Linked DNA regions of Anolis sagrei. The main gene of each other region encodes a partner of the protein of the gene in region 2 in a complex. Links are inferred from orthologs where the notes say so. Each region holds a gene or a part of one and is shown on either strand. Other genes may lie near its edges.

What was found.
Region 1: the proteins of WWC1 (region 2) and DDN are in contact, whole or in part, in a crystal structure (PDB 6J69), measured with the Mus musculus proteins. The link is inferred for Anolis sagrei from reciprocal best matches to the Homo sapiens genes WWC1 and DDN. Residues at the interface, in NP_740749.1 of Mus musculus: Glu13, Glu14, Ala15, Arg16, Asp17, Tyr23, Ile25, Asp26, His27, Arg30, Thr31, Thr32, Ser33, Trp34; in NP_001013763.1 of Mus musculus: Tyr227, Val228, Ala229, Pro230, Pro231, Ser232, Tyr233, His237, Arg238, Thr239.

What each region holds. Positions count from the first base shown.
Region 1 is NC_090022.1:138,067,096-138,070,848, forward strand, and holds the start of DDN (dendrin), read right to left. Parts: upstream 2,711-3,753; 5' UTR 2,352-2,710; exon of another isoform or gene 2,273-2,351; 5' UTR 2,267-2,272; coding exon 2,190-2,266; intron 1-2,189. UniProt on the Homo sapiens protein: Promotes apoptosis of kidney glomerular podocytes. Podocytes are highly specialized cells essential to the ultrafiltration of blood, resulting in the extraction of urine and the retention of protein.
Region 2 is NC_090022.1:105,773,842-105,777,594, forward strand, and holds the start of WWC1 (protein KIBRA), read right to left. Parts: upstream 2,757-3,753; 5' UTR 2,512-2,756; coding exon 2,393-2,511; intron 1-2,392. UniProt on the Homo sapiens protein: Regulator of the Hippo signaling pathway, also known as the Salvador-Warts-Hippo (SWH) pathway.

The DNA.
Region 1 (3,753 bases), about 32 Mb from region 2:
CGAAAGGGAGAAGCGTGCCAAGAGGAAGGCGCATCAAGCTAACCCCGACCGGAACCACCTCCCACCTGGAAACCAATGCCCTCACTGCGGAAGAAGATGCAGAGCAAGAATAGGGCTCCACAGCCACATACAGACCCACAAGAATGTTGGAAGACAATCATCCTCGGAAAACAAGGGATCGCCTAAGTAAGTAAGTAAGTAAGTAAGTAAAAGTACTATACAATTATAGGACAATGATTCTGTTTGGAGTTTGTAGCTTGGTCAGAAGCACCAGAAGAGCTCCCTTCTGGATTCCAAAGAGCTCTCCCAATAAACTACAGACCCCAAGATCCGACGGGATATTGCCATAAGAAATAAATTGGAATCAGAGCACTATTTCTGTGTAGTATGAAGGGCAGTGCTGTATATACTGCCCTTATGGTACCCTAAACTGCTGCAGAGGCTCAGGTCTGGTGGGTGCAATTGCTTATGCAGTCAGCTTCTGATCTGGCTCTGGAGCTCCCGGTGCAGTTTCTCAAGTTGCTCCTGACACAGAAAAAAATGGAATGGGGGTTTATATCTACATGAACCTAGGGAAACCTTTGCAGAAACCTTTTAAAAATCCAGAATTATTTTGAACCTGGGGATGGGGAATCTGTGTTTCAGATGGGCTTGTTTTGGCCATATCTGTCAGATGGATTGGCAGGCAATTTTATTATTGAACCAAGAAAGGTTCACATATAAATTGTAGCTATGGATCAAAGGGGGAAAGCAAAGAGAAAAGCAATCTTTCTTTTCAGATTTTTATTGTTAGTGTGAAGTGCACTTTGTAAACCTGCTTTTTAAAAACTACTATGCAACCCCCACCCCTTCAGACAAGACTTGGACAGGCTTCCTCTGTGTCATAATCTAACACAGACCCAATTTTTATTCCCATAATAAATCTTGATGTTTTGTATTTCAAATAAATTCATATTAGGAGCAAGCAGTGCAAAATAACAACTTAGTTCCAGCTAGGTGGATATAGGAAATATTCTTCTGAATGAATTATTTCTATTTTTTATTTTCCAGAACATTCTATAAGTACAAAGCGGTTTTCAGTCCTTGCATCACTGAGCTGAACCCCAGTGAACAGGTTCAGCTGACAGATAAAAGGCAACGGAGCTCAGCAAACAATCTGAACCTGAATGGGTCTCTTACATCTAAACAGAGTATGATCCTTGAACTGGACTGATCCTCAAATTCAGTATCTTGGCAAAAAAAGAGTGCCTCTGAGTATGTACAAAATACCACCTGACTGCCTGTCTACATGCCCACCTTGTGCTGCTCTTTGCCCCATGAGCTTTTAAAAAAACAGATTTATGACTTCCAAGCATATTTGAACCTTAGCATTTATCTTTTTGGAAATTAAAACCGTGGCCCAAGCTCAGTTCAAGCTAATATACTAGCTCCAAAATAGTTAAAGGTAAAGGTTTCCCCTTGACATTATGTCTAGTCATGTCTAACTCTGGAAGTTGGTGCTCATCTCCATTTCTAAGCCAAAGAGTCAGCATTGTCCATAGATGCCTTCAAGGTCATGTGGCAGCATGACTGCATGGAGCGCTGTTACCTTCCCGCTAAAGCAGTACCTATCGATCTACTCACATCTGCATGTTTTCGAACTGCTAGGTTGTCAGAAGCTGGGACTAACAGCAGGGGCTCACCCCGCTCCCCAGATTCAAACTGCTTACCTTTTGGTCAGCAAGTTCTGCAGCTCAGCAGTTGAACCCGCTGCGCCACTGGAGGCTCCAAAATAGAGGGGTATCATATTTAAGAGCATATACAATGAGCTGCCAAGTACCCAGTTCAAACTGGAGGTCAACTATGACATACCTTTTAGCCTCAGCATCCTAGTCCATATTATGGACATATCACTATACAAGCTGTTTCTTGTACAGGTGATTGGGATAATACAGAGCTTTAAAGAAGTGAAAACCTACTATGAGCCATGTTAATGAACTACTATTCAATCTGTTTGAAACCCACTGTTTAAAACCCCCTCAAATCTTAAACCAAGTCCCACCTCCTCTGCCATCCCAGAGGTGACCTTTCACTTGATGCAGCCCTGGAGCAATGTGATCCCAACCTATGGAGCCCTCTCCAGTGCTGGGAGTTGGGTTTTGCCTCCTCCTGTTCAAGCAGCACCCCCTTCAAAAGAGTATAGGACTCACGTGTACTGCCCAGGCACACTGTGGTACATCCATGGGGCGGCGTAGCCTTTCCCGGTCCATGTCCCCCCTGCTTCCATGGTGATCTGGCTGGAACGAGAGACTGTGTTAGATGCAACAAGGAACAGGTTGTTCTCTTGCAGACCCGAAGGCACCTGAAATCACCTGGATTCAAACGTTCAAGCATCCTCCTCGTTGCCGGGACATCGGGCAGTTGCCGGTGCCAACACAGTCGCACCACGAGAGAAAGGCTGGGGGTGCATTACAGCCCCCACACGCAACACATGGCAGGCAGATAGGTAGAAGGATAAGGACTCCCAGCAGCATGCAGCCCAGGGCGAGGGTCGGTTGGTAAAGCAGATTGCTCGAGGGCAGGTGGCTGCAAGTAAAGCCAATGAAGAGAAAGCGAAGAAACATACAGGGAGAAAAACAGAGACACGTGGCTGTGCACACACGTGCAAAGGCACATCAGGCAAGCAGCTACGCCCACCGAGATGCTCTCGCATTGCTAAACGCTCAGTTCTGTACATAGAGACCACACACATACACTCACAGAGCATCTCTGCCACCACAAGCTGCTGCAAGAACCGTAACACAGCAACAGCTACACAAGGACACAGCACATCACACAGGAAAAGCCTGCATTCTCTGTTTTCTCACACATGGAAGCAACGCACATGGCTTCAACACATCTCTTCATGCACAAGGCAGTACTCATCCCAACCCGGGCCCTCCTTTCTTTCACTCTGCCCATGAAACCCCTTTATACCTGTTGATACATTAAGATAAATAAAAGTACACACGTTTTACCTCTTAAATGCTTCCTGCTTCTATGTTATTGTCTTTTGTGGGTATCTGGCTGGCCTCTTGGAGACTAGAATGAGTTGTGTCGTGTTTTTTATGCTGAGAAAGTTGTGCATTAAACACAGGAGATTGCACTGTGGTGTATATATTCATGTTTTAAAGTCTTCTATTATTCATTTCAAAAATTTTTGTTTTCAATTTGGGATGAATTATTGTAAAGAATGGTATGGAAATCCAATACATAAAGTGAATAAACCAATAAAATTGGCCAGGAATATTGATTTCTCCATTGCCCTTGTATCTTGCTGCACTGCTAAGTGCCACAGATATGTGAGAGTTGGTATATTGTTCACCTCACACTGCTGTACTACATTACCAAAATCAACACATCTGTCCTTGTAGGATTTAGCCATTCCTAAAACTATAACATGCCATGACACTTAATTGGGAAGGAAATAATAGACTCATAGATTCATAGAGTTGGAAGAGATCACAAGGGTCATCTTGTTCAACCCCCTTCTGCCATACAGGAACACACAATGAAGGCACTCCTGACAGATGGCTATCCAGCCTCTGCTTTAAACCTTCCAGAGAAGGAGACTCCCCCACACTTTCCATTGTCAGACAGCTCTTACTGACAGGAAGGTCTACCTAATGTTCAGGTGGAACCTGTTTTCCTGAAATTTGGGTTTCCCCTGCTCTTTTTGAAGTAGGGACCATGTTTGCCTTCCTCCAGTCCACTGGGACTTCTATTCTCCATGGA
Region 2 (3,753 bases):
CTAATGAAGAAAATGAAGAAAAACTTATCTGAAGGTAACATTATTTTTCTGTATAGCAGTCGTGGACAAACTTCAGCCTCCAGGTGTTTTGGACCTCAACTCCCACAACTGTGCAAGTTGGAAATCCAAAATACCTGGAGGACCAAGGTTTGCCCATGCCTGCTGTATAGGGTGCCCCAAAAGTCTCTAAACATGGAATATATATAAATGTTGAAAGGTGTGATTGGCCCCTTCCTTGTTGGCCTTTAATTTATAAATTAAAACCTTTTTGTGGAACCAAGCCTGTTCTGATGACTTAAAATAGACAACAACCAGATAGCTAGTGGTAATATAAATCTCTGAATGTTATTCAAACTTGGCAATGCTACTATATGGCCTGATGCAAACGGAGTTCCTAAGATTTTAGTACAACTCTTTTTATGGATAACCCCAGTGGCCTGAGGTTCAGTGAATTTTAATGGCATTTGTTGTAAGTTATTAATTAGTTATAAATGGTTTAAAGGTAAAGGTTTTCCCTGACATTACGTCTAGTCGTGTCCGACTCTGGGAGGTGGTGCTCATCTCCATTTCTAAGCCGAAGAGCCAGTGTTGTCCATAGACACCTCCAAGGTCATGTGGCTGGCATGACTGCATGGAGTACTGTTTCCTTCCCACAGAAGCGGTACCTATTGATCTACTCACATTTGTATGTTTTCAAACTGCTATGTTGACAGAAGCTGGGCCTAATAGTGGGAGCTTACCCTGCTCCCTGGATCTGAACAGCTGACCTTTCAGTCAGTTTGTTCAGCAGCTCAGAGATTTAACCGGCTGCACCACCAAGGGGCCCATTTGCATGGTTTATGTAGTGGCAATTTGTTTCTTTGGCTTGAGATTTTTAAAAAAATTGAATGTATTGTCGAAGGCTTTCATGGCTGGAATCACTAGGTTGCTGTGAGTTTTCTGGGCTGTATGGCCATGTTTCAGAAGCATTCTCTCCTGATGTTTTGCCTGGATCTATGGCAGGCATCCTCAGTTTGAATTTGTATGTTATGTAATGACTGCTGCTTATAACAACTGTATGCCACTTTGAATTCTATCCATGGGAGAAAAGTGGGATAACAATTAATAAAGTTGGAATGCATACTTTGTAAATAAAGGTTAATTCAACAATTGCCCATTCCCCCAATCAGTGTTTCTCAACCTGGGGGTCGGGACCCCGGGGGGGGGTCATGAGGGGGGGGTATCAGAGGGGTCACAAAGACCATCAGAAAACACAGGATTTTCTGTTGTTTGTGGGGGTTCTGTATGGGAAGTCTGGCCCAATTCTCTTGTTGGTGGGGTTCAGAGTGCTCTTTGATTGTAGGTGAACTAAAAATCCCAGCAACTACAACTCCCAATTGTCAAGGTCTACTTTTCCCAAACTCCACCAGTGTTCACATTTGGGCATATTGAGTATTTGTGCCAATTTTAGTCCAGATCTATCATTGTTTGAGTCCACAGTGCTCTCTGGATGCAGGTGAACTACAACTCCCAAGTGTCATTGTCTACTTTCCCCAAACTCTACCAGTGTTCACATTTATTTATTTATTTACTATATTTGTATACCGCTCTTCTCAGCCCTCAGGACAACTCAGAGCGGTTAACAAAGCAAATACAATACAAAAAACATGATAAAAACAGTTAAAAACAAGTTAAAAGAATAACATTATAACAATCAATAAACATCATTTGGGCATATTGAGTATTCATGCCAAGTTTGGTCCAGATCTATCACTGTTTGAGTTCACAGTGTTCTCTGGATGCAGGTGAACTACAACTCCAATACCCTTCCAGTACTTTCTGTTGGTTGTGGGAGTTCTGTGTGCCAAGTTTCGTTCAATTCCGTAGGTTAACTATAAATTCTAGCAACCCCCAAATGACAAAACCAACCCCCACCAACCCCACTAGTATTCAAATTTGAGTGTGTCGAATATTTGTGCCAAATTTGAAATGAAAATGAGATGAAAATCCATCCTGCATATCAGACACTCAACATTACGATTCCGAAACAGTCGCAAAATTAAGAGTTATGAAGTAGCAACGAAAATAATTTTATGGTTGGGGGGGAGGGGTCACGACAACATGAGGAACTGTATTAGGAAGGTTGAGAACCGCTGCCCTCAATGAAGTAGGGCGCTTTCAAGGACATTATGATTAAAACTAGCTGAGCGGAGGCGGTAGGAATTCTTTTGGCCGGTTGCTTGAGAGTCGCGCTTAAACGAGAGTCCGGCTCTCTGAGAACGAGAGAGAGAGAGCACGCGCGGGCGCGCGAGGGAGAGGCGGCTTTTGTGCCGAGGTTCTTCCCAGGCACCTGCAAGGCTCCCCGCCCCCTCCCGCGCGCCCCTTTCTTCCTCCTCCTCCTCCTCCTCCTCACCTGTCCCTGGGGTCGACCCAGCTGGTGCTCTTGGTGGCGTGGTCGATGTAGTAGACTTTGCCGTCGTAGTCGCGCGCTTCCTCCCAGCCCTCGGGCAAGGGCAGCCCCGGCCGCGGCATCCTAGGCGGAGGCGGCGGGGCGCAGCTCCCTCCCAGCCCCGAGGCGGCCGTGGCCCCATGCAAAGCCCCCTCAGCAGGCCCAGGAGGAGCAGGAGCAGGGGGAGGAGCAGCAACCACCCTTCTCCCAGCCCGGCAGCAGAAGCGGGGGGCGAGGGGCCGCGTCGGGAAGGCGGGAGTGGGCGCCTCGCATCCTCGGCAAGCAGGAGGAGGAGGGGGAGGGGCCAGGCTCCGGCGGGAACCCCGCAGGTGTCTCTCTCTCTCCACGAGCCCCTTCCTGCCAGTCCTCAGGCTGCGCTTCCCGCCGGCCTGCTCGCCCCTTCCTCCTCAGTCTGCCAAATGCCGCTGCTCCTCCAACTCCTCGGCTCCTTCCTCCTCCTCCTCCTCCTCCCCGCCTCCTCTGCCGGCGCTACTGTAATACAGGTAGTAGCAGAGCCGCCTCGGCGCAACTTTGTTTCCCAAAAAAGAAAAAAAAAGAAAGAAAGAAAACCTTCCAAAGTATGTGAGGGAGGCTGCTATTCCCGTCAAGACGGCCGCGGCGGTGCTGAGAGAGAAAGAGAGAGGGAGGGAGGGAGGCAAGCAAGCAAGCAAGCGCCGCCTCGCGCCAAAGCCCCAGAAGGAAGGAATGAGCAGCCTCGCGCCCGGGCCTCGCGGGCAGAGCAACCTGGAGGGAGGGAGAGGGGAGGGGAGGGGAGGAGGGAGAGGAAGAAGGAAAGGAGGCGGGCTTGGCCACCTCTGCTTGAGGAAGGTCCAGCCCCAGAAAGGAAAGGGAAGGTCCCCCCAGCAGGTGCAGCTCCCCCCTGGTCCGACCTGGTGTGGAGTTGGAGCAGGCATGGGGCCCACCCTCCAGGTGTTTGGGACTCCAACTCCCACCATTCCTAACAGCCTCAGGCCCCTTGGAAAAGAAAAGGGCCTTAGGCTGTTAGGAATGGTGGGAGTTGGAGTCCCAAACACCTGGAGGGTGGGCCCAACTTCGCCCATGCCTGAGTTGGAGGGCTGTTTCCTTGTGAACAACCTTACTGTTGCTTCTGCGTTCTGTGAAGTGATGGCATGTTAGTTATGTTGCATTGGGAGTTGCAGTTCGACAAGGTCTTGACCCATTTCTCCCCAAAAGAGCTAGAGCCTCCATGGTGTAGATCAGGGGGTCCTCAAACTTTTTAAACAGAGGGCCAGGTCACAGTCCCTCAAACTGTTGGGAGGGCCGGATTATAATTTGAAAAAAAAAACTTGCATGAATTCCTATGC